7 linked regions of the Mus musculus genome follow. The main gene of each other region encodes a partner of the protein of the gene in region 3 in a complex. Links are inferred from orthologs where the notes say so. Each region holds a gene or a part of one and is shown on either strand. Other genes may lie near its edges.

Evidence for each region.
Region 1: Taf5 (region 3) and Tada3 share a complex: the UniProt entries of both Homo sapiens proteins name them as parts of the TFTC-HAT complex. The link is inferred for Mus musculus from reciprocal best matches to the Homo sapiens genes TAF5 and TADA3.
Region 2: Taf5 (region 3) and Tbp share a complex: the UniProt entries of both Homo sapiens proteins name them as parts of the TFIID basal transcription factor complex. The link is inferred for Mus musculus from reciprocal best matches to the Homo sapiens genes TAF5 and TBP.
Region 4: Taf5 (region 3) and Kat2a share a complex: the UniProt entries of both Homo sapiens proteins name them as parts of the TFTC-HAT complex. The link is inferred for Mus musculus from reciprocal best matches to the Homo sapiens genes TAF5 and KAT2A.
Region 5: Taf5 (region 3) and Tada2b share a complex: the UniProt entries of both Homo sapiens proteins name them as parts of the TFTC-HAT complex. The link is inferred for Mus musculus from reciprocal best matches to the Homo sapiens genes TAF5 and TADA2B.
Region 6: Taf5 (region 3) and Taf13 share a complex: the UniProt entries of both Homo sapiens proteins name them as parts of the TFIID basal transcription factor complex. The link is inferred for Mus musculus from reciprocal best matches to the Homo sapiens genes TAF5 and TAF13.
Region 7: Taf5 (region 3) and Taf9 share a complex: the UniProt entries of both Homo sapiens proteins name them as parts of the TFIID basal transcription factor complex. The link is inferred for Mus musculus from reciprocal best matches to the Homo sapiens genes TAF5 and TAF9.

The regions. Positions count from the first base shown.
Region 1 is NC_000072.6:113,375,039-113,379,058, reverse strand, and holds the start of Tada3 (transcriptional adapter 3), read left to right. Parts: upstream 1-1,220; 5' UTR 1,221-1,743; intron 1,744-2,113; 5' UTR 2,114-2,161; coding exon 2,162-2,167; intron 2,168-2,994; coding exon 2,995-3,219; intron 3,220-3,799; coding exon 3,800-4,020. Other genes in the region: Arpc4 (actin-related protein 2/3 complex subunit 4), read right to left, coding at 851-853. UniProt on the Homo sapiens protein: Functions as a component of the PCAF complex. The PCAF complex is capable of efficiently acetylating histones in a nucleosomal context. The PCAF complex could be considered as the human version of the yeast SAGA complex.
Region 2 is NC_000083.6:15,513,388-15,516,887, reverse strand, and holds part of Tbp (TATA-box-binding protein), read right to left. Parts: intron 3,359-3,500; coding exon 3,267-3,358; intron 2,659-3,266; coding exon 2,491-2,658; intron 1,273-2,490; coding exon 1,178-1,272; intron 185-1,177; coding exon 105-184; 3' UTR 1-104. UniProt on the Homo sapiens protein: The TFIID basal transcription factor complex plays a major role in the initiation of RNA polymerase II (Pol II)-dependent transcription.
Region 3 is NC_000085.6:47,080,864-47,083,979, forward strand, and holds the end of Taf5 (transcription initiation factor TFIID subunit 5), read left to right. Parts: intron 1-945; coding exon 946-1,123; intron 1,124-1,280; coding exon 1,281-1,458; intron 1,459-1,563; coding exon 1,564-1,781; 3' UTR 1,782-2,616; downstream 2,617-3,116. UniProt on the Homo sapiens protein: The TFIID basal transcription factor complex plays a major role in the initiation of RNA polymerase II (Pol II)-dependent transcription.
Region 4 is NC_000077.6:100,709,668-100,713,643, forward strand, and holds the start of Kat2a (histone acetyltransferase KAT2A), read right to left. Parts: upstream 2,801-3,976; 5' UTR 2,738-2,800; coding exon 2,414-2,737; intron 2,270-2,413; coding exon 2,146-2,269; intron 1,812-2,145; coding exon 1,666-1,811; intron 1,563-1,665; coding exon 1,473-1,562; intron 1,237-1,472; coding exon 1,055-1,236; intron 970-1,054; coding exon 778-969; exon of another isoform or gene 583-777; intron 1-582. UniProt on the Homo sapiens protein: Protein lysine acyltransferase that can act as a acetyltransferase, glutaryltransferase, succinyltransferase or malonyltransferase, depending on the context.
Region 5 is NC_000071.6:36,481,486-36,485,589, forward strand, and holds the start of Tada2b (transcriptional adapter 2-beta), read right to left. Parts: upstream 2,801-4,104; 5' UTR 2,573-2,800; coding exon 2,303-2,572; intron 1,605-2,302; exon of another isoform or gene 1,523-1,604; coding exon of another isoform or gene 1,493-1,522; intron 1-1,492. Other genes in the region: Ccdc96 (coiled-coil domain-containing protein 96), read left to right, coding at 3,167-4,104. UniProt on the Homo sapiens protein: Coactivates PAX5-dependent transcription together with either SMARCA4 or GCN5L2.
Region 6 is NC_000069.6:108,570,481-108,574,498, reverse strand, and holds the start of Taf13 (transcription initiation factor TFIID subunit 13), read right to left. Parts: upstream 2,801-4,018; 5' UTR 2,778-2,800; coding exon 2,751-2,777; intron 1,620-2,750; coding exon 1,541-1,619; intron 1-1,540. UniProt on the Homo sapiens protein: The TFIID basal transcription factor complex plays a major role in the initiation of RNA polymerase II (Pol II)-dependent transcription.
Region 7 is NC_000079.6:100,649,866-100,654,142, reverse strand, and holds the start of Taf9 (transcription initiation factor TFIID subunit 9), read right to left. Parts: upstream 2,801-4,277; 5' UTR 2,726-2,800; coding exon of another isoform or gene 2,698-2,725; intron 2,537-2,697; exon of another isoform or gene 2,426-2,536; intron 1-2,425. Other genes in the region: Ak6 (adenylate kinase isoenzyme 6), read right to left, coding at 2,698-2,725. UniProt on the Homo sapiens protein: The TFIID basal transcription factor complex plays a major role in the initiation of RNA polymerase II (Pol II)-dependent transcription.

The sequences.
Region 1 (4,020 bases), on a different chromosome or scaffold from region 3:
AGTCAAAACTCAGTCAGCAGGAAATGGCTTTCACGCTAAGGAATGAAACCAGTTAGGACTAACACTGGAGCAAGCTTTAAAAAGTGACTTTTGAAAAAGAGGGTCTAATTTCAAAGTCTCTTCCCTGAGAGCATTCCCGGGCGTGCAACAAGCAGTCCAGCCTTTAGAACTCAGGTCGTCAAGGGCTGACCAGAGAAAGTAGTGGGAAGCCTGGGACCTTTCGGAGAACAACTGCACGGAGCACCCACAGATCCCAAACCCGAGCATGAAAGAGGAGGACCAGCGGCCATCAACATTTACACACGTTAAGGTCAACACGGTTCTGCACATCTAGGAAGGAGTCTGAATGCAGGCAAGCAACACAGAACCTTCATTGGGAGCTGGAAGGCAAGGCTTCCAGGAAGCGCCAAGAAGTAAGAAGATGAAGTGGACACTTGCCTCGAGGTCCCGTGAGACCGCGAAGGCAGGCAGGGACAGGGGGTTGTACTTAGCCAACCTCTACCGTGGACGGAGAGGAGGCCCCGCAGAGCGGTCCTACCTCAGCTGCAAGCCACCACCACGGGCTTCGCAGCCCGGTCTCCTGCCCCCTCCGAACATCGGGGAGAGGTCATTCTAGCCCGGGATTCCCAACCTGGAAGCTTCCGGGCCTGCTCTTGCTCAGAGAGCCTCCTGGCTCGCCCCTTCCTCCTCGCCTCGGCCCTCGCCCCACCCTTTGCCTCTCCATCCTCCCCGTGCCTCCTCATCCCGGGGCAACCTCGGGCCGCAAGCCCTAGCGGCAAGCAGCATCTCCCCCAGACCCACAGCCTCTACAGGCAAAACACAGGGAGGACCCCAACCCCTGGTCTCTCACCATCGCGGGCGCTGTCTGGGCCGGAAAGCGGAAGTGCGGAAGTGCCCGGACCCGCGACGCCTGCCCTTTCGAGAGAGGCGCAGCCGCAGTCTCCGACAGCACTTCCGGGCTGGACCATCTCGGGTAGGACCGGGGAGGGAGAGCCGAGAGATATTCAGATCTCCGGGGCGATTTCACACTGGGACCTCTGGGACTTGTAGAAGACCTGCTATGAGACAGTAGCGGTCGAGTCCCCTTGGATCGCTACACATATTCCGCCAGCGCCTTTAGTGCTTGTCGCTTTGGTTGTAGCCTCCCCCCGTGTGACAATAGTACAGCCCGACCTCAGGTTGGGCACCAAATTAGGACAGGCCGAACCGGAGAAACGTTTCTTCCGGTGGTGCTCCCCTATCCTCTCCGGGCTCCTCCCATTTGCAACCGTAGGGTTCGGCCGGGTAGCCAGTCCCTTGAGATTTGGGCTCTGGGCCCCACCCCAGCCCCGGGCTGCTTCCTAGCCCGGGACTCCTCAGGCCTAGCATTCCACCTCCCGGAGATTCGTAGGTGGCCTTAGACCCCCACCCCCACCCCGGCCCTACAGGCCACCTTGGGCTGGCCGTCCCCGCCCTCGCGTCAACTGCAGGGGGCCCGCCCATAGCCAGTTCCGGAGCAGTTGCTCCGATCGCCCTGAACTCCCCGCCCCCTCCTGCGGCCCAGGGCCTGTAGGAGGCCGCAGAGAGGAGGTAGGAGAGGCGGGGGTTGTGTTAGGGGCTCCCTAGAGGACGAGGACCCTGGAGGCGGGATCTTGGGGCGACACACAGGTGGAGCCAGCCATTAAGCAGTCCCACTTCTGTGCCAGGCACTGAACTGGGCACTTGACGAGCATCACCTCTTAATCCTCAGAACATTCCAGGGAGGTAGGTAATTCTCGATGCCCCCATTTTACAGATTTATACTTCTTAATGGGGAAATAGACTGAGGCATCATCTTTTGTCCTGGAAAAAAGAAAAACAAACAAACAAACAAACAAAAACCGGAGATTCAGGTTAAATAACATGTTTAGAAACGCACATAAGAAAATGGGCTGGAACTTAGTTCTGTTCACCTGACCAGCCTGTGTTCCAAACTAGCCAGGGACACAGAGAAGGTGCAGAGGTGGAATGGAGTGAGACAAGAGGAGGCAGGGAGAACCCTGTCAAATAGAATGCTAGAAACGACCCAACGTAGGGAAACAGAGGACATAGGAAGACAGGGCACACTAGTATCTCCTCTTCCTTAATGCTGCAGATTCCAGACTTCTGCGGTTCAAATTGCAACTAGGAGGCCGGCCTAATCATGCAGGTTTGTACACCTAGTGACTTGGGAGGCTAAAGCAGGTGGATCATAAGTTCAAGGCCTGGAATTCATGAAAGGGGGGGGGGGCTGGATGTAACTGTAACATAATTAAGTTTGGAGAATTTGTGCCTAGAATGAACAAGCGCTTGTATAAATCAGGTGTGGTACATGCCTAAAATTCCATCTCTTGGGAGGTGGAGACAAAACCTTGGCTACATAGCTAGTTTGAGACCAACCTGAGTGCATATCTTTATCCCAGCACTCAGAGGCAGGTGCTTTCTGGGGTGGGGGTCGGGAGGGGGAGCTCTATGAATCCTGATCTATGTAGCAAATGAGTATCAGGCCACTCAAGACTACATAATGAGATTTTTGTCTCCCCCACCCCAAAATGGGGGTGAGGTAGGGTCTGGAGATGTGTGAGACCCTTCAGTGCTACCAAAACAAAAAAAGACAATAAATTGCAGTTAGGAGTCTAGGCATGTGTACATACTCTTCTGGAGTCTTTTTCCTTTCTTTGTCAAAAGAAAGAAACCAGGCAGTGGTGGCACACGCCTTTAATCCCAGTAGAGGCAGGTGATCTCTGAATTGAAGGCCAGCCTGGTCTATAGAGTTCATTCCAGGCCAGCCAGAGTTGTTATACAGAGAAATTATGTTGAATGAATGAATGAATGAATGAATGAATGAAAAGCATGGCAAAAGGCCCCCCTTTTAAGGTTATGTGCATAATTCAGTGAAGTCAACCTAGCTTGGGGTACAGTCAGGGCTCTGTTGGGTCTCTCTCCCCATGCTACTTTGTCTCCTATCCAATGGCCTTCTCCCCTCTAATTTTACAGGGTCCCACCTCCTGGGCCATGAGCGAGCTGAAGGACTGTCCACTGCAGTTTCATGACTTCAAGTCTGTGGACCACCTGAAGGTCTGTCCCCGCTACACGGCAGTGCTGGCCCGCTCCGAGGACGATGGCATTGGCATTGAGGAGCTGGACACCCTGCAGCTGGAGCTTGAGACTCTGCTGTCCTCTGCAAGCCGGAGACTGCGTGTACTGGAAGCTGAAACCCAGGTGATTGTCCATGGGGGGCATCCACTAGAGACATTGTGTCAAGTTATGGGATGGATCCTTAGGTTCCCTCTCTGCTGAGGCCCAGGGATGGATGGGAAGAGAGACCCACATGGGAATCATGACAGAATAGTTAGCTCTCAGTTCAGCTTACCGTTAGCCAAGGATGCTATCCGACTGTAGGTGGACACCGCCCACGTGTGGCCCCTGAAGTTGCCTGGGAACTTTCTGAGATGCACTGTGATACAGTCAGTTGCATAGACAGAACCACCGGGTGCCTTGGAGTGTGACATAAAGGTTAGCTGGGAGTCTTGTTCACCACCACCAAAAAACCCAGCAGCAGCAGATTTCCCCAGGACTACCATGCCAAACCGTTTGTGACTAGCTTGGGCGGCAGCAGAAGTGAATCAGAATGTAGACCTCCGGTTAAATTCATGTGAGAAAATCACAGAGAAGAACAGGCATTTTGAAATATGAGTAGTTTGCTTAATAACCTCAAATTCTAGATCTCAGTTATCCATGGCGGGGAAAGAAGTGCCCTGTCTCTTCTCTCCGTCTCAGGGGTTGTCTTTGTGTGTTTCAGATCCTTACTGACTGGCAGGATAAGAAAGGGGACCGACGATTCCTGAAGCTAGGTCGCGACCACGAGCTCGGTGCTCCCCCCAAACACGGAAAGCCCAAGAAGCAGAAACTGGAAGGGAAGACAGGACATGGGCCAGGCCCTGGCCCGGGACGACCCAAATCCAAAAACGTCCAACCCAAGATCCAGGAATATGAATTTACTGATGACCCAATCGACGTGCC
Region 2 (3,500 bases), on a different chromosome or scaffold from region 3:
CACCTGTAACTGAGTGTCCTCACCAACTGTACCATCAGTGGTACCAAAACTGACTGGTTTTAAAAAACACGTGGATAGGGAAGGCAGGAGAACATGGCAGACAACTATGTGGTCTTCCTGAATCCCTTTAAGATGGGGTAGATGTTTTCAAATGCTTCATAAATCTCTGCTCTAACTTTAGCACCTACAAAGACACATGGAACAGAAATGAGATGGTTAAGAAGTAGCATCATTACCTTAAAACATAAATACAGTTCTCTCTATACCTAGTTAAGACAAACAAATGGTGGAATCCCCTTATCACCATCCTAGCTGTACCCACTATTCTACCCCCTTTTTTTGAGACAGGGTTTCTCTATGTAGCTCTGGCTCTCCTGGAACTTGCATAGACCATGCCTCTGCCTATGAATTACTAGGATTAAGGGCCATGCCCAGCTAGCTCTCCAGCTATGTTTTTAGAACAGTATTTTCTAAGTGTTTTAAAAAGTGATACACGGGCTGGTGAGATGGCTCAGTGGGTAAGAGCACCCGACTGCTCTTCCGAAGGTCCGGAGTTCAAATCCCAGCAACCACATGGTGGCTCACAACCATCTGTAACAAGATCTGACGCCCTCTTCTGGAGTGTCTGAAGACAGCTACAGTGTACTTACATATAATAAATAAATAAATCTTTAAAAAAAAAAAAAAGTGATACACTTAGCGACTTTTAAACACCCTAGACCATCATTTCCTCACTATATAGTTGGTCTGAGATCAGGATCCACAAGTCAGCAAGACAATATCTACTTCCTACTCTAGTTCCTTCCCATACTTGGACCTGAGTGACATGGTATCTGACAAGCACTGAGGACTGAAATCTTATTCTCCCAACTGTTGGTATTCAATTGAGCTCTTCTCAGTCTTGTAATCATACTCTACTAACCCCCAAGGTGCAAGGGCCAACTGAAAACAGTCAGTGTCCCATCCCTGCCTGCTCCCACAGTCAAGCTTAATCTAGCTGACGGCTACATCAGCAGCAGGCCTCTGCAGTTCTTCTCATTCTTCTACCCTTCTCAAGAAGGTTAGAATGGTGTGCAAAACTTAAAAAGCATCCTTACACATGGCTAGACAACTGTTCTAACACAGAAAATGCCACCCCAACATCCTTTGCAGTTTCATCCACTTCCTTTCAACTTACCTGTTAATACAACTTTTCCAGAAACAAAAATAAGGAGAACAATTCTGGGTTTGATCATTCTGTAGATTAATCCAGGAAATAATTCTGGCTCATAGCTAGAAAGAAAATGGGAATACAGTTTAGAAATCACCAGTTCTTTGTGTTTCTGAATACAAGAGGCTTTGTGCCAGAAAGTCCTGAGTAAAGAATCCAGGTGTCACAAGTAGGACACACAGGAAGAAACCAGCCAGGAGCCATGAGTCATGGACATAGCCACCAACTACTAGCTACATGTCCTCCTATCACTTAATGCTATCTTCAGACTCTAGAGGTTCTGTGATAAAAACAAGAGTTGTATACACACGGTCTGAGCCTTATTTAGATGCAGTTAAAGCTAGTCTAGTTATAGCACCTTATCAAAATCTCACCATTCACTCCTAAGCTAAGAGTGGCAGTCAGCCCTGTAATCATCTCACCTTCCTGAACAGAACTCTCCTGGAGATGCCTGCTTTTCTAACAGGTGCCTTAACTAGAGTGAGAAACCAGACATGAGCTTGGCCATGAACCGACTCCCTGGTCATACCATCTATTCGAACGGACATTAGTTAACATACTCTAACACAGCGATTTCAGGTTTCTTAGTTCAGTCTACAAAAGGATCTGCCTTTCTTGTGAGTGATCCAGAGATAAACTCAGGACAGGTCTATATGAGGAAGACAACATGAGTGAATTCCTGAAACTCAAACAGGAGTTTCTATGATGAAAATTGTACCCAATATGTCAGGGTTAAAAGTGACATGTGCAGAGGCCATGGAGCAAGAGGAACCTGGTGAGTACGAGAGAACTGGTAAGCTCAGTGGTGTGGCTGCAAAGAGAAAACAGATGTTATAAGGATGTGAGTAGGGATGCTCCACCAATATTCAGGCAGAGAAAGGCAAGAAATAATACTGGGCAGTCTACCTCTGCTGCTCATCTTTACACTGTGTTGGTATGCTGACAAAAAAAGATTCAAACTAGGAGAAAAGTGATAGAAGAAACTACAAATTCATGTATTTACATCTACTTACTGACTAACAAAATGGTGAGGCATACATACAGAGGTGAGCTAAATCATTCCAGTGAGAGAGTCTGGGTGTCATGTGACTAAGGAAATAGGGATTGTAAAGACAGTGGAGAGTGCAGTAGCTCAAATGTAGCAATACCTTAACTTAACTTGCAGTTATGTCATACATGCTTAGAAACTGCACATCTTATATGTACGTCATCTGAAATGATGCCTGAGTGGGTTATAAATGGACTGTTGGAAAACTACTCCCCATACTACTTAGACCTACCTACTGAACTGCTGGTGGGTCAGCACAAGGCCTTCCAGCCTTATAGGGAACTTCACATCACAGCTCCCCACCATGTTCTGGATCTTGAAGTCTAAGAACTTAGCTGGGAAGCCCAACTTCTGCACAACTCTAGCATATTTTCTTGCTGCTAGTCTGGATTGTTCTTCACTACAGAAAGGAAAATCAGTGAGTTATATATGGAAGCCTAATAGAGTAATTTAGATGAATAACAAACAGAGTCTAAATTAGGAAAGTAATTAAACTATCTCCGTGTCCTCAACAGAAACCATAAACCTACCAAAACATAAGCCTTCTATGTGGCACATTACTGTCAAGCCCTCAGATTTAAAGGACTCGATGTAGTGTGTGGTTCAATTAGCATGGCCACCGTCATCACCTCATTATGACCTATAAATCTCTACTGAAATGAAAACTTCATCTTTATAAAAAAAATTAGTAAAATGTATTATTGGGAAATACAAATTCTATCTTCCTTTACATCAAATCTCTATCCATTTTTAGGACACCACTATTGGATAAAGCTATGATTTTCCAACTCAAGAGTTTTCATTTGAATATCAGAATGCGAATGGCAGTGCTACAACCAGAGCCCAGGAGATCAGGAGTAACAGTGTGGGGCACCAAAGCTATGCAGAGTAATCAGAGCAAACCATTCAAAAATAACATGAAAAGTGCTAGCCTGATAACAGAAGGACGCTAGAGCCTTTTTTCTTTCATAATACACCCACTAGAAACAAAGCATTCCTTAAGGATACCTCTTGGCTCCTGTGCACACCATTTTTCCAGAACTGAAAATCAACGCAGTTGTCCGTGGCTCTCTTATTCTCATGATGACTGCAGCAAATCGCTAAAATGGTCAGAAAGAGGCATTAAAAAGGTGTGAACGAAAGGGTAAAAAGAAAAGCTGTCTTCATGATGACTGAGGAAACAGAGCTGTGGTGCTGTAGGTCCCAGGTCAGACTATCTTTGCTACATCAGATATTCTTACC
Region 3 (3,116 bases):
TCTCCCTCTATTGTCTACACCAAGGGCCCTGCTTCTACTATGAATACCTTTGTCTTCTGTTATTCTAAAGTCCCCTTTGATGTAATTTTTGCTAGAAATCATGTGGTTGCCAAAACTATAGGAAAATGGTTTTCTGTTCATTAGGAGTGGGAAGGTGGGTATAAAAGAACTTATACAAGAGTTTACATGCCGGTGGAGAAAAGGCTCAGCAGTTGAGTCCTGACTGATTTCCCAGAGGACCCAGGTTCAATTCCTAGCACATAAGTGGCAGCTCACAACTGACTGTAACTCTAGTTCCTGAGGATCCGACACCCTTACACAGACACGCGCCTAGGCAAAACACTAATGCATATAAAATTAAAATAAATCATTTAAGCCAGGCAGTTGTCAGTACACTCCTTTAATCCCAGTACTTGAGAGGCAGAATCAGGTAGCTCTCTGAATTTTGAGGCCATTTTGTTCTACAGAGTAAGTTCCAGGATATCTAGGGCTACACCCATGTCTCAAAACACACACACACACACCCCAAAAACCAAAAGAAAGCTAATCTCTATGTCTGTAATCCCAGCATTTGGGAACTGGGCATGGTGGCACATGCCTTTAGTTCTAGCACTTGGAAGGCTAAGGTAGAGGGATCTCAAGGCTAGCCAGATCTAACAGTTAATTCCAGGACAGCTACAAAGTGAGACTCTGTCTTAAACAAAATAATCACAAAAAAACCAAACCCAAATGTACCAGTACTCTGGGATATGGAGACAGGATAGTGAGTTCAAAGCTAGCTTGGGCTACATGAGACATCATCTCAGGAAAAAAAAAAAAGTTAGTCCCAGTTATCTTTCCTTCAGTTAGATAGCAATTTCAGTTAGAGGAACCATTTGGAATTGATCTTCACCTGGAAATACCTCTCTTTTGGGTTAAATTTTATTAAATTATTTTTATTTTCAGGCTTTGGGCTACCGATCACTATCAGCCTTTGAGGATATTTGCTGGCCATCTTGCTGATGTGAATTGCACTAGATTTCATCCAAATTCGAACTATGTTGCTACGGGCTCTGCAGACAGAACTGTGCGGCTCTGGGATGTCCTCAATGGTAACTGTGTAAGAATCTTCACTGGGCACAAGGTATGTCACACCTTCATTATTCCAGCACACAGATGCTTCCAAAGTTGAAATACTTAACCAGGAGCATAAACAGTTTAAAAATAATGGTCATGCTATTAAACTACAATTCTACCTCAGTCTTATCAGATAGATTTAACCCTACTTTGCTCGTTTCTAGGGACCAATTCATTCCTTGACATTTTCTCCCAATGGGAGATTCCTGGCTACAGGAGCAACAGATGGCAGAGTACTTCTTTGGGATATTGGACACGGCTTGATGGTTGGAGAATTAAAAGGCCACACTGATACAGTGTGTTCACTTAGGTTTAGTAGAGATGGTGAAATTTTGGCATCAGGTAAGTTATTTCATGGCTGTGGGGTAAAGAAACCACAGTAAACACAAGTATCCATGGGGAGTTGTGACAGCGGCACACTGATGGCTTCCTTTGGCTTCCTTTTAGGTTCAATGGATAATACAGTCCGGTTATGGGACGCCGTCAAAGCGTTTGAAGACTTAGAGACTGATGACTTTACTACAGCCACCGGGCATATAAACCTACCTGAGAATTCCCAGGAGTTGTTATTGGGTACATATATGACCAAATCAACACCAGTTGTACACCTACATTTTACAAGAAGAAACTTGGTTCTAGCTGCAGGAGCTTACAGTCCGCAATAAGCCAACGGTATTAGAGACCTTTTGGAAGCTACTGTTTGGAAAAGGGAGACTAAAAGCAAATACCTCAGTGATTAGTATTTAAGCTACAAAGAATGTTTTTGTCTACATGGATCTGGAAGTATGCTGCTTGGAAAATCTGAACAAGACAGTTCCACGTTTCTATAGCAACCACATTTAACTAATTTCCGTTAGTTGAATAAGAGGTATTATGTTCGTGGAGGGGACATTTATGGTGCTTTGGATTGTGTGGAAACTATGCATTTTTTTTTTGTTGTTCAAATGCTATTTTAATTTATTGTGTTTAGAAAAAAATCAATTTGATTTAAACAATTCATTCTGCTTCAAGATTCAAGTTAAGAAATATAGTACCACCTTGAGTAGCTGAAGAGTTCTATGAACGTGTGTGTGCTGTAATGAGGTTATTGTACGGCACTCAAGCAGCGTGTTCAGTGACCCACTAACATGCTTCCCTTCACCCACCATTAGTGGACTGTATGGAACTGAGTAGGGACCACACTTCCTAAGTCTACATGTACAGCCATCCACCAACATCTCAGTTCCTACCATGTAAGTTTGGCGTGCAATCAAACACTTACAAAGCAGGTGAGGAGATTTAGATTCCACACTCTACTTCAGCTAACATGGCTACATATGACCTAGTACACTTGAAGTCAGACAGACATTTCAGTTGCTTACCTCCAATACTGAGCCTTGCTTTGGAAAACTAAGAGATTCAGACCAAGTCACTGCCAGTTTTTGCCTTTGTTGCATTTTGTACAGTTTTATATTTTTGATATCTTGTAAATAAAGACAACCAGCTTTTCCAGGTTCATAATTTATTGTACAAATTGAGTATTACATGATGAGTTCACATCAGCTTCTTCAGGCATGGGACTTAACAGGTGAGGTCAGACATTTCAAAATCCTATAAACAAAGCAAAAACAGTTTGATTTAAATGTGTTCTACTGACAATCAGTAATCACCACAAATTCCCCAAAGTAAAATGTACATTCACTAGGTTCTCAAAAGTCAGTAGGACATATGTAACAATATATGTGTGTGTGTGTGTGTGTGTGTATACACAGCTCCTTCAGGTTGCCATAGTTTAACGTTCCAGCTTTAACAATTGAAGTAGCTGTTGAAACTGCCAATAGTTCAGTATAGCCTTAAAAGCAAAACTACTGGAAAAACCTAAGTATACAAAGTAACACTTAAAATGTTTGTTAATTTTATGTGTGAGAGTTCTGCCTGCACGTGTGTGCATGTACCACCTGTGTGACATCAGAAGAAGGTTAGCAGATCCACTAGAACGGTTGTGAACCAACATGGGTGCT
Region 4 (3,976 bases), on a different chromosome or scaffold from region 3:
GCTCAGGATAGGACATAGCCAGGATAGAGACTGGAGACCCAATTTTGTCATGATGTGTGGCCAAGGAGAACGGGTCTGAGCGGATGCCATCCTATGCTGTGTGGCTAGGCAGGGCACCCACCCAGTCACCTGAATTGCCTTAGTCCCCTCTCTATCAGACTGGTCTAGAATGAGCCAATCTTGTCACCTCTTGTTCCCACATGCTTGTTCCCAGATTCAAATGGGAAGAAGATGTGGAACAACAGAGGCACAGAGATAGGTAATGGCTTCACTTCAAAAGTAAACTCTAAGCCAGGCGTGGTGGCGCATGCCTTTAATCCCAGCACTTGGGAGGCAGAGGCAGGCGGATTTCTGAGTTCAAGGCCAGCCTGGTCTACAAAGTGAGTTCCCGGACAGCCAAGGCTACACAGAGAAACCCTGTCTGGAAAAAACAAATAAACAAACAAAAAAAGTAAACTCTAGACTTCTCAGAGCACTGTGGTAGGAGGGGCTCTGGGGTGATATCCACACACCCAGAGGAAACTAATTAGTAACTATCTATCAGGGGGCTGAAAGAGGGTAGCGTTAGCTTGGGCCATGTACCTGCCATCCCCAGACTAGCACATACTAGCAAGTAGCTTCTGGGCCATGGGCAAATCTGCCAGGTAGACACCCAGATCCCAGAAGGCCCATGGAGGGAGAGGAGGGACCAATCCAGGAAGCCTTCCTGGAAAAAAGGGGACAACAGCAAGGACATGAATTTGGGGTAAAATCCCAGGAGGCCAGACTGAGCCTTACTTGGGGAAGTGAGTGAGGATGAGGGTCCTCTTCTCAGGCACCAGTTTGTCCTTTTCCACCCGAAATTTTTCCAGTAGCTGCCGGCGGGTGACAGTGAAAATGGACCGTAGAAGGCTTCGGCCAAACACGTGGGTGGTCTCGTAGCGGGGGAGGCTGTCGCAGCTCTGGGGCACGTGGCAGTAACAGAGCCATCTGGGGGAGGTGGAGCGGCAGGTGAGGGTGGAGACCGCCAGACTGGCTGTTCAAGCCTCCCCTGTAAGGCCCTGTCTGGGCTTACCTGGTATAATTGACTTTGTAGGTAGCGACATCCTCAGACTGGGACCGCTGCCGGAATTGAGCAGGGGTCTCCAGCTTCCAGTAGTTAAGGCAGAGCAGGAACATCTTTGAGAGCTCAAACATTGTCTGGCGCTCTCGGGGGGCCAGGTGGCTAAATTTGTACTGCACAAAGTTCAGTACACCCTGAGGAGTAAGGAGGGGACAAAATCAGGAGGAGGTGTGGACAGCCAACAGAGGCATGTCAAATAGGAGGGATTCTGTGAAGAGAACCTCTGACCCTTCCAACTTCCACACCCACTCTGAGGTCAGCAAACACCATGTCCCTTCCTTGAACCTCTCCCCTGTTCTCAGCTTGAGGAAATAAACCAGACTCTCCACCCTCTTAAGTCGCCTTTAATCTTGCTACATGCCCGCCCTACCTGTTCAATGTTAGGCTTCTCAAATGGGGGGCTGCCTAGAGACCCCTCCACCACTGGCCGTGTCATCTGCAGAATGCACTTCCGCAAGAGCTGTAAGGAAGAGGGATGGGCAGAAACAGGAGTAGCAGAGCTCAGAGAGCAGGATCCCCAACACACACCAAAGCTTCACCATCTTTACTCCATGAGAACTCACCTTGAAGAGGTAGAAATAGACTTGTTTGGTGTCTGTGTCCTCTTCCTTGTGAACAGACATGAACAGATTTTCTACATCTACTACCATTCCCAAGAGCCGGTTAATCTCGTCCTCTGACACATTCTCCAGGTGGGACACATGGTCCGCTGCAAGATGGTTACATTAGGGCTGGGAAGAACAGAAGAGCTCCACGGGGCTTGATTCCTGTACCTCCTCTAACTAGCCAGTGACACACCCTTGATTCTCCAATTCTTGACAGACAGGGAGACCCAGTGTTCTCAGTTCTCCCATCAGCCCTTGGTAGCTACCTGCTACCAAGGCAGATCTCCTTTTTTCCTTCCATGGGACATTCACATTTATTCCCTACCCAATATTTCCTTAGAAGGTCTCCAAGAAGCTCTGTGGTACTTATGTCACCCTGTTCAAACAGGACCTGGCTCCTGCCCTCCGCCCCAGCTCCAAAGGTGGTGCCTGCCTTACCCAAAGGGTGCTCACAGCTACGGCACAACTCGCTCAGGTTGGCAGCTGGCTGCTGGAGGTCCATGCGGGGTGCGGTGGGGGGCTTGGGGTTTTTCCAGCCATTACACTTGCAGGTTTCATTGGCCTGGAGGGGGAAGGTTCAGTTCCCTGATGCTGTCTGCATCCCAAGCGCAAGAGCGGCTCTATGGCTAGAGCTTCGCCCCCCATTCCTACCCCAGACCTTGGATGCCCCAAGCCCCGCCCCTTTTGCTCTAGGCCCCGCCCCCACCTTGCAAGCTGAGAAGACCCCTAGTTTCTCAAGCTTCTTGGCACGCGGCAGACCCCGGACTTGCGCCTTCCTCTGGCTAGCGCGCTGCTGCTGGCTCAGGCCAGGTCGAGCCGGATCCCCCCCACTTCCTACCCCGGCGCCCCCACTCCCTGTGCTCCCAGCTGGGGCTGCAGCTGGGGCAGGGGCTGGTGCCGGAGTCGGAGCCGGAGTGGAGGCTGAAGCCGGACTGGGCGCAGGAGTCGAAGTTGGGGCAGGGGCTGGGGAGTGAAGGGGCCGGGGCTGCGCTGCCGGGACCGGGTTTGGGGCCTGGGAAGGTTCCGCCATGGCCTCCCCCGCAGCGGAGCGGCGCCGCGCTCCCAGCCCTAGGGCCGCATGGGCAACCGGCGCACAGTGCGCAGGCGTCACGGCCCCGGCGCACGATGGGAGTCGTAGTCTTCCTTTGCCGCTTCCCATCCTTTGGCCTTCCATACTTTTTTTTTTCTTGGTTCCAGACAACCAAATGTCGCTTGGTTGAGCATCCTAGATTTGACCATTACTTCATTCTAATCTTTTTTAAGCCATCCGAGATAGTGACAATTACTATCCTCTTGGGAACAAGAGGCACCCCAGAACACTGGCCGTCTGGAGGATTTGTGGATGCTGCCCTTTTAAAGTCCATAGGTGGAAGAACAGGCCTGGGCCTGAGGTTGGCTCCCACATTGCAAAAGCCTGCCCTATTGTGGCTGCCGGCTAAGGCTTGCAGCTACAATAGAGATAAAATGTAACATTAATTCTACTATTTGTACTGTGGTGTTCACACTTATGAATTAACTTTGACAATCAGTTTTTGGGTTTTGTTTTGTTTTGTTTTATTTTGTTTTTTGAGACAGGGTTTCTCTGTGAAGCCCTGGCTGTCCTGGAACTCATTCTGTAGACCAGGCTGACCTCGAACTCAGAAATCCGCCTGGCTCTGCTTCCCAAGTGCTGGGATTAAAGGCATGCGCCATCACTGCCCAGTGACAATCAGCTTTTTCTATACTTGGGTTGCTGTTAAACAGAAACGGTTTTATTTTCAAAAGAACAAAGAGACATAGTTGTGGGCCATGCTGCTGTTGAATGTGTGTGTTCATGCACGGGCATTCGTGTGTGTGTGTGTGTGTGTGTGTTGGGAGTGGGCAGGAAAGGGGGGGGGGAGTGTGTTTGTGTGTGCTGAGAACTAAAGAACCAGAGAGACCAACACTGAAGATGCGGAGGGTAGGGGGTGGTCCCCTCTTCTGGCTCGCCTAGGCAGCTTTGAAGATGGAGAGGATTCCTGACCTCATACCCTTCCATCCTACCTCCATCTTTTTCCCTGCCCACTCCTTAATGGGGGGGTGGGGGTGGAGGAAAGCCAGAGAAATAGACAGTTTCTTCCCATTGTAGAGGTAGACTGTGAAAGGTCAGGGATAGTTCTTCCTGGAAGATCAGAAAGGCCCCCTCTTTTGGCTCAGTCCAGAGAACAATTTTCCTTGCCCCAGGCCCGATTCTTAAAAGGGCAGGGTAGGGCAGGGCCGGCAGGGCAGGGCAGGGCAGAGCAAGCCAGAC
Region 5 (4,104 bases), on a different chromosome or scaffold from region 3:
AGCCCCAAGGCTCTTCCCCTTGGTCTTTACTTCTTCCAGCGCTGAGACTGGGCCTCATGAGAACCTGCCCCCTGAACAAGCTCCTCTGGCCTTCAAGCCTGAAAGAGCTGCTTCAGAAGAGGCCTTCCCCAGCCTGTCTGTTCATCCACATTTTCCGTGTTTTAGTTCCTGAGTGCTGGGCTTCTGACTGCGCTGCACAAATGGGCACAAACACTAGCTGAGCTACACTACAGACTCTACAGACCGGGCTTGCATTTCCTTTTTAACAAAGTAAGATAGAACAAAGCCAAAACACTGAAGTTGGACAAGACAAACCAACAGAAGCAAGTGAAAGGGCATAAGAATCAGAGACCCACTCGTTCACACTTGCAAGTCCCATAAAAATACTAAACTGAAAAGAAAACTATATACATAGAGGACGTGGTGCCGCCCCATGCTGGCCCAGACCCATGCTGGCCCTGTGCTTGCTGCTTCAGCCTCTGTTCATCTGAGTTCATCGGAGCTTTGCTCAGCTCATTTAGAGGGCCTTGTTCTCCTGGTGTCCTCCTGACCTCTGGCTCTTATATTCTTCTGCAGGGTTCCCTAAATACAGCCCAGATTTCAAGAGCTAAAGCAAGCGCAGTGCTGAGACTAACACTCTCACTCTTTTCAGTGTCTCCTCTGGAAATAAGTGCTAGAGGACTGGTGTGAGGAAAGAAAGGCTCTCAGAAGCAGTGACACGCAGGCCAGAGATCAGTCAGTAGTCTTGACTGAGGTGAGAACACCTCAGGCAGAAGAAAGGAAATGATCAATGGACTCCGCGTGAGCTCACAGAGAGCCATAGACATTGTCAGGCCCTGCAGGCACTGGAGTGTAATCTAAGAAGCAGAACTGAAGTTGCTGAGGGCCAACAAGATGCGGCTTATGCTCCAAATGCCCTATGTTCATGTGTGAGAAGGGTTACAGAACAGAAGGAAGAGAACGGTAAAACCATGAGAAGTGATCACGAGAGGTAAGCACCATCATGGGTCAGGCCAGAAGAGTAGGTCAGTAGCTACATTATGCACATCTTTTCAATACATGACCACTGACCAATTGGATGTGGTTGATGGCTTTAGGTTGGCTCTGTGTATAACTGAGGACAAGTGAGTCTTCACAGGCAATCAGGTAGAGAGGGATCACCAGGTATGCGACAAGCTCCAGAAACAGAGCATATGAATGCCACACTTTCAGCACTGAGGCTCTTCTTCAAGGTCCTTCATGTTGCCTGATCTGTACAAAGCATATGCGCAATACACACCAATAAACACCACTTAGAGACAAAGTAACCCATTGTTTTTAGAGAGCAGGAGCCAGTGTTGCTCACTGGTAAGACATCTGTGGAGTAGACTCCTTCCTAAGTGGGGAAGTGGGTCCAGAAGGTCACTCATTCTACGACGATCTGAAACAGGAGGGCAGTAGGGTTGGAGTAGGGGAAGCTCGGGGAAGCTAGGGTCAGAGGGCCCTAACATACCAGGGAAGAGTCTGGACAGGAGAGGGTCATGCCGAGCTCCCTGCTTCTCTGAAAGCTTGAAGATGTGACATATTCTTGGAGGCAATGGTGACAATGCAGCCAGATCTCATCCCTAACATAGGTGAGGAATAGAAAGGAGAGCTCCTTAGAGACAGCCAGAGAACAACCAGGAGCCCAGCACACTATCTGGCTGGCACACATGAAGGCTCTTACTACCAGTGAGCTACCTCTACAGAAACCTGACAGCTAGAAAGCAGACCCCAGGATCCATGCCTCTTCAGGAACACGCCTTTGTTCATTCTTTACTGTCCACCCATCACACCATGTCCTGGGTGCTGTGGAGACTAAGACTTAAACAAGATACTGCTACTCATTGAGAACCTTAGCACAGGGCACATGCTGACACCCACAGAAAGCACACGAAGCCCTGAATGCAGACTAAGTGCAGGCGGGACGGGCAGCCCCAGGCTTCTGGCCTTCCCCACCACTATGCCCAGGAGAACACAACCGTACTAGGGGAACTCAGCAAAGGACAGTGGGATCTAGCTTGCTGCCATCTGACTCAAGGATAAGCCTGGCAACGCACAGGGCCTACCCTCTACCCGCGTTCAATGCACACCTCTTGAGGACGAGTGTGAAGGGCAGACAGCTCCGTGTCGGGGCAATGGGTCAAGGCCCTGCTCTACCAGCTGTGTGACCGCTGGTGACCAACACGTTCCGGACACAACCATCCGACCACCTGCGGCCCTCCGCAACGTACACCGAGCCAGCCAGCCATGCCCTCCCTTCTAGCCGTAGCCCGCCGCTCACCCAGTTGCCGAAGCCGAACTGCTCGATGGCGTCCAGCAGCAGCTGCTCCTCGCGGCTGGTCCAGCCGCCCTCCGCCTCAGGACCCCAGAGTGTGAATCGTCCGCCGTCTACCAGCTGGTAGCCGTGGTAGCGGCGGTGGTGGCCGATCTCCGCGCCGGCCGAGAAGCACTCGGGGCACAGCTCGATGTCCTGGCACTCTGTGCAGCGGAAGCGCAGCGGGCTCACCTCGGCCAAGCAGTACACGCAGTACTTCTTACCCAGCTCCGCCATCTTCCCCCGCTCGCCCGCCGCCCGGCCCGCAGCCGCCGCGCCCCCGGCCGTCAGCGCCCCGCCGCCTGCCGGGCTCGCTGCGCCCGCCGCGCCCGTGCCGCTGCCGGCCGCTGCCACGGCCGCCCCCGCCCAGGCGCCGCCGGAGCCGGCCAGGCGGGCCGCGTCCCGCCTCAGCACGCAGGCGCCCTCCGGCCCGGCCCGGCCGCCGCCGCCGCAGCCGCTGTCTCCCCGCCGCATCGCGCAGGCGCCCCCCGCGCGCCCTCTCGCGGACAGCCGAGTCTTTGCTCTGCGCCTGCGCGCCGGCGCCTCCCGCGGCCTCATGGACTGGAGGAGCCGCGAGGCCCCGCCCTAAGCCTGTCAGCCGGCGGGGCGCGGACCGGAAGTAGGCCGTGCGGGCCACGCCTCTCGGGAACCAGCGTCCAATTAGCGCCTCCCTTCACCTGTTCGCAGATCTTCATTGGCCTAATATTGCCGGGAGGTGGAGAGAAATGGAAGGCGGGTGACCAATCGCGGGGCCCACCGCGCGCCCTGGTTGCCCCGGGAAACCTAACAGCAGGCATCAGCCGGCCTCAGAGCGGGGCCGGCGGGTCGAAAATGGACAGCCACTACGGGGACATCGAGGGCAAAGACCGAGCCGAGGAAGGCCTGGCCAGGCAGTCGCTCGAGATCAAGGTTAGCTCCGAACCTCTGACTCCGGCCAACCCTGTAGAGCAGGAGCCAGAGCCGAAGCCAGAGCCGGAGCCGACGCAAGGGCGGGAGCCTGAGAGCGAGACCCAGCCGGTGTCGGACAGCTCAAAAGCGAAGGATTCGGAGGGGATCGATTACGCGCATGTTGAGGTCCCGGAAAGTCCGGGGGCCGCTGAGACCGCGGGCGAGGCCGTGTCCCGAGAGCCAGAGAGTCTGCCACAGACCCAGCCCAAGACCAAGCCGGAGTCCAAGGAACCAGAGGACAAAGACGAAGACGAGGATGAGGACGAGGATGAGGACGAGGACGAGGACGAGGATGAGGATGAGGATGAGGATGAGGGAGAGGAACGGGACAGGCCAGAGAAGCCGAAGGGCAAGGGGAAGAGGGAGAAGAGGAAGGAGTCACGGTTCCGGCCATCTCTACCGCTGACCACAATTGTTGAGGAGGGGGCTGCCCCAGGCCCACAAGCTGCGAAAGAGAAAGCAAGGGAGTCACTGAAGAAGAGAGACAGTGAAGAGATCGAGGGGACAGATCGAGAACGACACAAAAGCACAGAAGAGCAACTTCACCCTGGAGAGGCCAAGGAAGAGGAGAAACAAAAAGGGGCGTCCACTGAAGAGTTTGAGTGGACAGCGGACATGCAGAAGCTGCAAGAGCAGCAACTGCGCGGCGAGCTGGTGGAACAGTACCACTCCCTGCTAGTGGAGCGGAACCGTTATCAGCGCTACAACATGTACCTACAGCAGAAGATTCACGAGACCCTACGCAAGAAGGGGCTGGAAGCAGCGGCGGAACCTGGGGACAAGAGCGCTGAACCCGAATCTCCCGAGAAAGAGCAAGCATA
Region 6 (4,018 bases), on a different chromosome or scaffold from region 3:
ACCCTGTCCAAAACAAAAAACAAAAACAAAACAAACAAACAAAAAAAACCCCAGCAAAAATAGAAGAGACATGAAGATTCTATTAAGTCAGTGGGAGAAGCCTGCGAAGATTCCAAATTTTTGTCATCACAAAAGTAGAGCAGTTGAAACTGAACTAAAGGTTTGGACAAGCAGCAGGGTGAATACCATTCCTAGAGCACTTTAGTGTAAGGGTCGTTTTCATATGTCCACATAAGGAGTAAAACCACACACAAATCACGTAACTAGCATCAGTGAGACAGAATGGGAAGTGGTCAGACTTGAACGAAACTGGAAGGTACTAGTGAGGATTTCTGTTATGGTTGTAAGATACAGCCGAAGTTGCCTTCAAACTCAATGAGGAAGACCCTGAACTCAAATTCTCCCATCCCTATCTCTCCCAAGAGCTGGGATCAAAAAAGATTTAGAGAGTTAAAGGCTGATCTTGCAGTTTCTAGAATTTTTCAATCCTACTGTACTCAGGCATTTATAAATCTCTGCCGCTGTACTTCCCAAGGCTCAGCCAAGGAGCCTGGGAGAAGGGATGGAGAGTGCAGTCTCATGGGCCTTTCAGGAATTAGTATGGGCACAACAAGTGGACACCGCTCACCCTGCGCTGCCCCAAGGGCTACCTGTCTGTTTAAGGAGCACCATGGAAGGCTAGTGCACTGTCATCTCCACAGCACACTTCACCACCTTCTTGCCCTGAGCTATGCCTTAGTCCAAAGCCTCAACTTACATCATTTGAAAGGTGGACACAAGAGGGATACAACGTTCAAAATGTCAACTGGGAGCCATGGCATATGCCTGTACATCTAGAGCCAGGGAAACAGATAGGAGAGCAGAAGTTCAAGGTTCTTGCAAGGTTCTTGCAAGTTCAAGGTTATACGCATATGCATACCAAGTTTGAAATCATGCTGGGATCTAAAAACCCTGCCTCAGCTGGGTGGTGGTGGTTCACAGCTTTAATCCCAGCACCCAGGAGGCAGAGGCAGGCAGGCACATCTCTGTGAGTTCAAGACTAGCAGATCTTGATCTATTCTAAACTCCAGAAAGAGTTCTAGGACAGCCAGGGCTACACAGAAAAACCAAGCCTCAAAAAAGGAAAAGAAAAACAAAAACAAACAAAACAAAAAAACCCTGCCTCAAGGAGGAGGGCAGAGGTGATCACATTCATTATTTTATGTCACACAGAGAGAATTAGTAGACATGAGAGAGACTTATACTGACCATGGGATGCACACCTGCAATCCCAGGACTTGAGAGGCTAAAGCAGGACTACCACCAAACCAAGGCTAGCATGGGCTAAACAGTAAGCACCAGTATAGCCTTGGCTATACAGAGCCTATCTTTAAAACAAACAAACAAACAAACAAACACCAAGAATAAAAACAGGCAACCTTATAGGCAACTCTGAGAACACTGTCCCTATAAACAAACATATGCAGAACAATATACTCTGAAAAGACATGTTCAAAAGCTTTCACCACCTGTAATAAAAACACTAGAAAGTACAACTTACATTCTTTCGAGAAAAGTCTCTTTCTCTTCCCCTGGCCACCTTCCGCTCCTCCTCCAATTTCTTCATTCTCCTCCTCAAACTAGAAATTTTAAAACACGGACATGGCAAATGATTGCAGTGCACGTGATATTCCCTCGAGTCTCCTCCTGCTCGCCCTCTTTGTGGAGTGCTGTGAATTGAACCCACGAGCTCACGATGCTAAACAGATGCTTGACCACTGAGCTACACCTCCTGCACTCTTTTCATCTTTTTTTTTAAAGGCATTTATTATTTATGTGTATTGTGTGCCTACATAAATGTGCCTGCTGTTGCCCATAGAGGCCAAACTAGGTCTAATCGCTGTAGGTTGCCAGATGTGACAGCAAATGCTCCTAAGCACTAAAGCTATCTCTCTACACTTTTTTTTTTTTTTTTTTTGAGACAAAGTGGTCTCACTATGTGCCCGTGTCTGCCTGAACTCACGGAGATCCGCTTGCCTCTGCTCCTGAGTGCTGGGATTAAAGGTGTGCGCCACCACGCCCAGTGACCCTTTTTCATTTTCGAAAGTGAGAAGCTAAAGCAAACTGCACAAAACCACGAAAATTTAGCACCAAAGGGCTCATAAGCCCTAGTCCAATTCTCAAGTCGTGCAAGAAGGCTTTTATTACGGCTGCTAACAACCTTACAACCGTGCGTGTGTAAAGTTCTAACGACCTCAGGTTCTGGGTTTGGTTTTAGCCAATTTAGTTGTCACACTGCTAAGCAAGACTACTGTAAAAACCTGGTAGTTTAAAATCTACTCTCTGCTGTCATCGGAAGCAACTGATAAAGGGCTAAGAACTTTCCTTAACTGGGCTGGACTCTACCTCACAAGAAAACCGATGCCAAAGGAGAATTTGGATCCCAAGCTTCCTGTCTTTAGTTCATCGTTTCTCCGCTATCTTCACTAGTTTTGTCAGCATCTGGGCTGCTGGTTCCGCTTTAATCAGCTTTGATCTCCTATGACCCTCTAGATGTCTTAGTGTCGGGAAGATCCAGGTCAAAGAGAGACCCTTTCTACTCTTCCTTCCCGTCTTGTCCCACGCACTGACTAAGGTAAACCAAAAAAGGAAAACACCGCGGAGCCCCCGGACTCTCGGCGGGAATCCCTAAGGCACAAGCGGGTCAGACTCTGCCTCCGCTAGTGATCCGAAAGGAGTGAGGAACCAGGCTGAGACAGGCGCTCACTCACGGTGGGGTCTTCCTCCTCATCTGCCATGCTAGCTGCTCGCCAGCCTTCTGAACCCGCCCACCGGCGGCTGGCGAGTTTTATAAGATACGTACGTCACTTCCGGCCTGGCCAGCGTTGCGCAGAGAGGCGTGCGCGTTCATTCTCCTACCCAACCCCGGCCTTGGGATTGGCTGGAAGTCAGTGACGTGCTCTTACGTGTGGAATCCTGAAGGAGGAATTAAAAATTACAAAGAAGCCAGGCGTGGTATACTACGCCGGGAAATCTCTGCACTTGGCAGGCAGAGGCAAGAGGGCTTCGAGTTCGAGATCAGCTCAAGTTTCATGAGCCCATGTCTCAGAAAACATAAGTGATAAATTTGTGCATACTTACGGAGGCTCACAAATGCCTGTAAAAATAGGATGACTTTTTGCCTCTGGGGCTGATCCACTCAAGTACACAAGCCCCATGATATTATATATAGTATCTATATTATTATATAATTATATATCTACTTTCTTTTATGTAAATAGGTGTTTTGCCGGCAAGTATGTGTACCATGTGTGTGCAGCACCAAAGAAGCCAAAATAGAGCAACCGATTTCCTGGAACTAGAGATAGACGATTGTGAACCGCTATATAGGGGCTAGGAATCAAACTCAAGTCTCTTGAAAAGCAGCCAATACTCTTAACCACGGAGCAATCTTTCCTGCCTCCGTTAATACGCAATATATATATGTAGTTTGGGTTGGAAGGTTGTTTTGCGCTTTTTTTTTTTTTTTTTTTTGGTTTTTTCAAGACAGGGTATCTCTGTGTAGCCCTGGCTATCCTGGAACTCACTCTGTAGATCAGGCCGGCCTCGTTCTCAGAAATCCGCTTGCCTCTGCCTCCCAAGTGGTGGGACTAAAGGCGTGCGCCACCACTGCCCGGCCGTTTTTTGCTTCTTCTTCTTTTTTTTTTTTTTAAATTACAAAAGATGTGCTAGAGAAATGGTTCAGTCAATAAAAGCTCTAGCGGAATAAGCCTAAGGCTCAGGTTCAATCCCTGGGACCTGTATAAAAAGTGAAAGGTGAGAAGACAGAGTCTGCAAGGTTGTCCTCTGGCTTCCATACACAATAATAAGAAAATATTTTAAAATTATGAAAGAGCTAAGTGTAGTGGCACTCGCCTTTAATCCCTGCCTTGGGAGGCAGAAGCCAGAAGATCTCTTTGAGTTAGAGGCCAGCCAGGGCTACATAGTCAAAACAAGAAAACCAAAGCTCGGCAGTGGTGGTCCATGCTTTTTGTCCCAG
Region 7 (4,277 bases), on a different chromosome or scaffold from region 3:
CAGCCATCTTCTGCCCTTAAGGTTCTTAACTGATATAAAGCCTGGTATGGTGGTGTACGTCTTTAATCCCAGCACTTGGGGCAGAGGCAGGTGAGAGTCTCTGGGGCTTCAAGACCAGACTAGGCTACACAGTGTCAGGACAGCCAGGGCCACATAGGAAAGCCCTATCTCAAAACCAAACCAAACCAACCAACCAAAAAATTCTCCAGAAATTACTGTCTACTAGTGTCTATATCCTAATCTCCAGGGATAGGACTGCAGCAATTTTGATGCCAATTCTGCCTGCCAACAACAAAATTCCCAGCATAAAATTAGACACCTTGCCGGGCGTGGTGGCCCATGCCTTTAATCACAGCACTCGGGAGGCAGAGGCAGGCGGATTTCTGAGTTCAAGGCCAGCCTGGTCTACAAAGTAAGTTCCAAGACAGCTTGAGCTATACAGAGAAACCCGGTCTTAAAAAAACAAACAAACAAAAAAACAAAACAAAAAAATTAGGCACCTCAAATACACTATTATCACTTATTGCGTTAATAAAAAGCTTAAAAAACATTCAATGGGCCGGGCATGGTGGCGCACGCCTTTAATCCCAGCACTGGGGAGGCAGAGGCAGGTGGATTTCTGAGTTCGAGGCCATCCTGGTCTACAGAGTGAGTTCCAGGACAGCCAGGGCTACACAGAGAAACCCTGTCTCGAAAAACCAAAACCAAACCAAACCAAAACCAAAACAAACAAACAAACAAAAAAACCAAACAAACCCCCACCCCCCAAAAAAACATTCAATGGGGCTGGAGAGATGGCTCAGCAGTTGAGAGCACCAACTGCTCTTCCAAAGGTCGTGAGTTCAAATCCCAGCAACCACATGGTGGCTCACAACCATCCTTAATAAGATCTGATGCCCTCTTCTGGGGTGTCTGAAGACAGCTACAGTGTACTTACATATAATAAATAAATCTTAAAAAAAAAAATTCAATGGAAAAAAAGTTTAGTATGAGCAATACCATTACTACCATTTCCCCTAACAGAAATACCTTCCCCAGAGGGAGCTACTTTAAACCAGTTTCTTACTTAACTTTCTATGTGTTTGTGTGTATCTAAGGGATACTTGGTGTGTATTTAAGTAAGTGTATACATACACACTGTATATATCCACACAGCATAGATACCCTTATAAATGACACTATACATAGTTTGCTTTTCTCCTTTTACAGCTAATACCCTCCACTTCCCCCTGTTTTTGTTTTTTTTCGAGACAGGGTTTCTCTGTGTAGCCCTGACTGTCCTGGAACTCACTCTGTAGACCAGGCTGGCCTCGAACTCAGAAATCCGCCTGCCTCTGCCTCCCAAGTGCTGGGATTAAAGGCTTGTGCCACCACTGCCCTGCTTATAGCTAATACCCTTAAGACAATCAAATGCATAATGTTCAAACTTATGTCAACTTGAACATTGTAAGAAATCCTGAAAAATCATGTCTCTATAGTCAAAAAAAATATACTTCCACTGTAAGAACACATCAATCCCAACTCTTACTCAGCGCTCGTGAACCCTTTCTGTATTCAACACTCCCATTCAGATCTACAGAGTTCTTATGATGTAACTCTTGTCCGTCCCTCCCCACTGCTTTCCCCCCTCCCGCCAACCGGCACGGTTCTAGGTTGGCCTTTGACTTCTCATCCTCCCTAGTATTGGAATAACAGACATATGCCACCCCATCTAGTCTATGTTGTTCTGGGGACCTGATTCCAGGGCTTCCTGCCTACTAGTGAGTAGTCTACCAACTGATCTACAGCATTCTCTGCAGCCTACTGGCTTCAGAATCTGAAAGCCCCAAGAAACTGTCTGGCCATGCAAATCAGATATTGTAAAATGTTCCTAAGGAATCTCAAAGCTAAAGCCTGCAGAGCTAAGACAGACAACAACCTCACCTGATTCGTTACCTGACAAAACAGCAGCTGAACTTTTTTCAGTAAAGTGATGGCATCTTTATCTATATCCATCCCATCTTTGTACAACTGGCCTATGACGCTACTAAACGCTACAACTTAACCTTTCTTATTAAAGCTCCGAAACGTCCCACCCACGATCAGCTCCAGATCACCACAAACGCTCAGAAACCTTAACACTGAAACAACAACAAAGCCCGTGGCGCGAACCGAACAAAGTAACAGTTCATTAGTCACGTCTCTTCACAAGCATCCCAAAAATCATCTACAGAAACCTTTCGGGAAGTGTTTCTCAAAAGCAAAGGGGTATCTAAAAATAAAAAATAAAATAAGAAGGTGACGACCAAGAAGGCCCAAAGACTGGGGTACCCACCATCACCACATCTCCTAACGGCTAAAAACTGCCTCACCGCACCTCGATTTTTAAAAACCCCAAGCCCGACCGCGACAAAGGCTCAGCAGCCCGTTCTCCAGGCAAAGATACCAGATTGACAAAGGCCAAGCGTCCGGCGGAGCGACGGGGCAGCGGGAGAGCAGGAGCCGGCCTGCCGCTCTCCCTCTCCTCGGCGCGGCGTCTGACCAACCGAACCGCCGCCTCCGCCGCTTCCCCCGCCCCCCACCCCAACGGTCGCGAGCGCCGGGTCCTGACGCGCCAGCCGACACGGCACGCCGCGCGGCCTGCGGAGCGCCCCCGGGACCTCACAGCCCTCGGCAAACCCCGGCCCGGCCCGACCCGACCCCGTTGCGCGCCCTAACCGGTGAGCAGGATATTCGGAAGCTTCATAGTCCTCCTTCCCCTGCAGCCAAAGCCTCCGCTCACGCGCCCGCCCCGACGCGCTTGCCAGGGAGGAACCGGAAAGGGCGGGCGTGCGTGCGGAGGGGCGGTCTCGTGCGCCTGTACGCGGCTAGGTTCCCTCGAGGCCCTCCGCCGGGCTCGCACGCACTCAGACCCTACCTCGGCACGCACCAGGAACTCCGCTGGCCTCGGGTCCTACGCTTCCATCTAATGGTGGGAAGCCGGGCCCCGAGACCCGCCTGCGTTTCGGGTCAGGCAGTGCGCTGGACGCCTACGTCCCTTGCTCGCTTGCCGGCCCCTCCCCTCTGGCTGCGTCGCGGAAGCGCCGTCCGTGAGGAAGGTCCCCAGGAGGCGGGCCCTCCAACAGCCTGCGGCTGAGCCGGGAGGGCTGGGTGGCGAAGTACAGCCCCGGTTCTCCGCTTTTTTCCGCCCGCGAGGGGACGCAGCTCCCGGAAAGTAAGGACGCCGCGGCTTCCGCTTGATTTATTAATATCCCAGAGGCGTGAGGTCAGCTGTGTCTTCACGCATACCTGGGCTGTGTCCTTCCCGGCCCGCCCTCCAGTCTGGACTGGTGTAGGATGTAGGTGAGGAGCCCTGGCCTGGAGCCATGGTGCGAGGTGTCAGCTCCGCTCACTGGTGATTGCAGAAACACCTAAGGACTGACGTGTGAGCTTTGTGTCCCTGTCCCCTGTGCAGTGTGTGAGGTGGAGGTGGATAGGCTAGGGGTAGTGTTGAAGTTCTCGTTATCTCCGGCGCGTTTCCCGAGCCTGATATCATCAGAGACGGTTGTTTGTTTATCGAAGGAGGTGACTGTCAGTCTTGTTTTCAAAGAGCCCTGATCATTGAGCATCTTTCATTTCGACAACTATAATTTCTTAAGCAGACGTTTTTGTGTCCCTTTGAAAGGTCAGGCCATAATCCTAAATTAGATAGGAGAAGATGATTTGTTTTATTGGGTGCCAAAGTTTTCAGCGTGTGGGCTTGTGTGTACCTACAACTCTAAAATAGATGGGTGCACCTTCCAATATATACATTTATCCAAAGTGACTAATGAGTCTCATTTCATTTTTTCCCCCTTAAATTGTAAATCCACAGTACTTGGTAGCATGACATGAAATACAATTTTCAGCATAAAAATAAAAATGTTTATATGGGATTAGTTTTTCTTTATAATAAAAGGTAAGTGCACAAATATATGGTTTTTCTGTTTCATTCATCGTTGAGTTTTTTTTTTTAAGATTTATTTATTTATTATATGTAAGTACACTGTAGCTGTCTTTAGACACTCCAGAAGAGGGTGTCAGATCTTGTTACAGATGGTTGTGAGCCACCATGTGGTTGCTGGGATTTGAACTCAGAACCTTCGGAAGAGCAGTCAGTGAGTGTTCTTAACCGCTGAGCCATCTCTCCAGCCCCATCATTGAGTTTTTATGAACAGCTTTTATTTATATTATACCATCATAGATAGATTATCTGATTAAATTGTAATCATTTAAAATTTACTTTAAGATTTTAACATCTTTATTTGAGCCCTTATTTC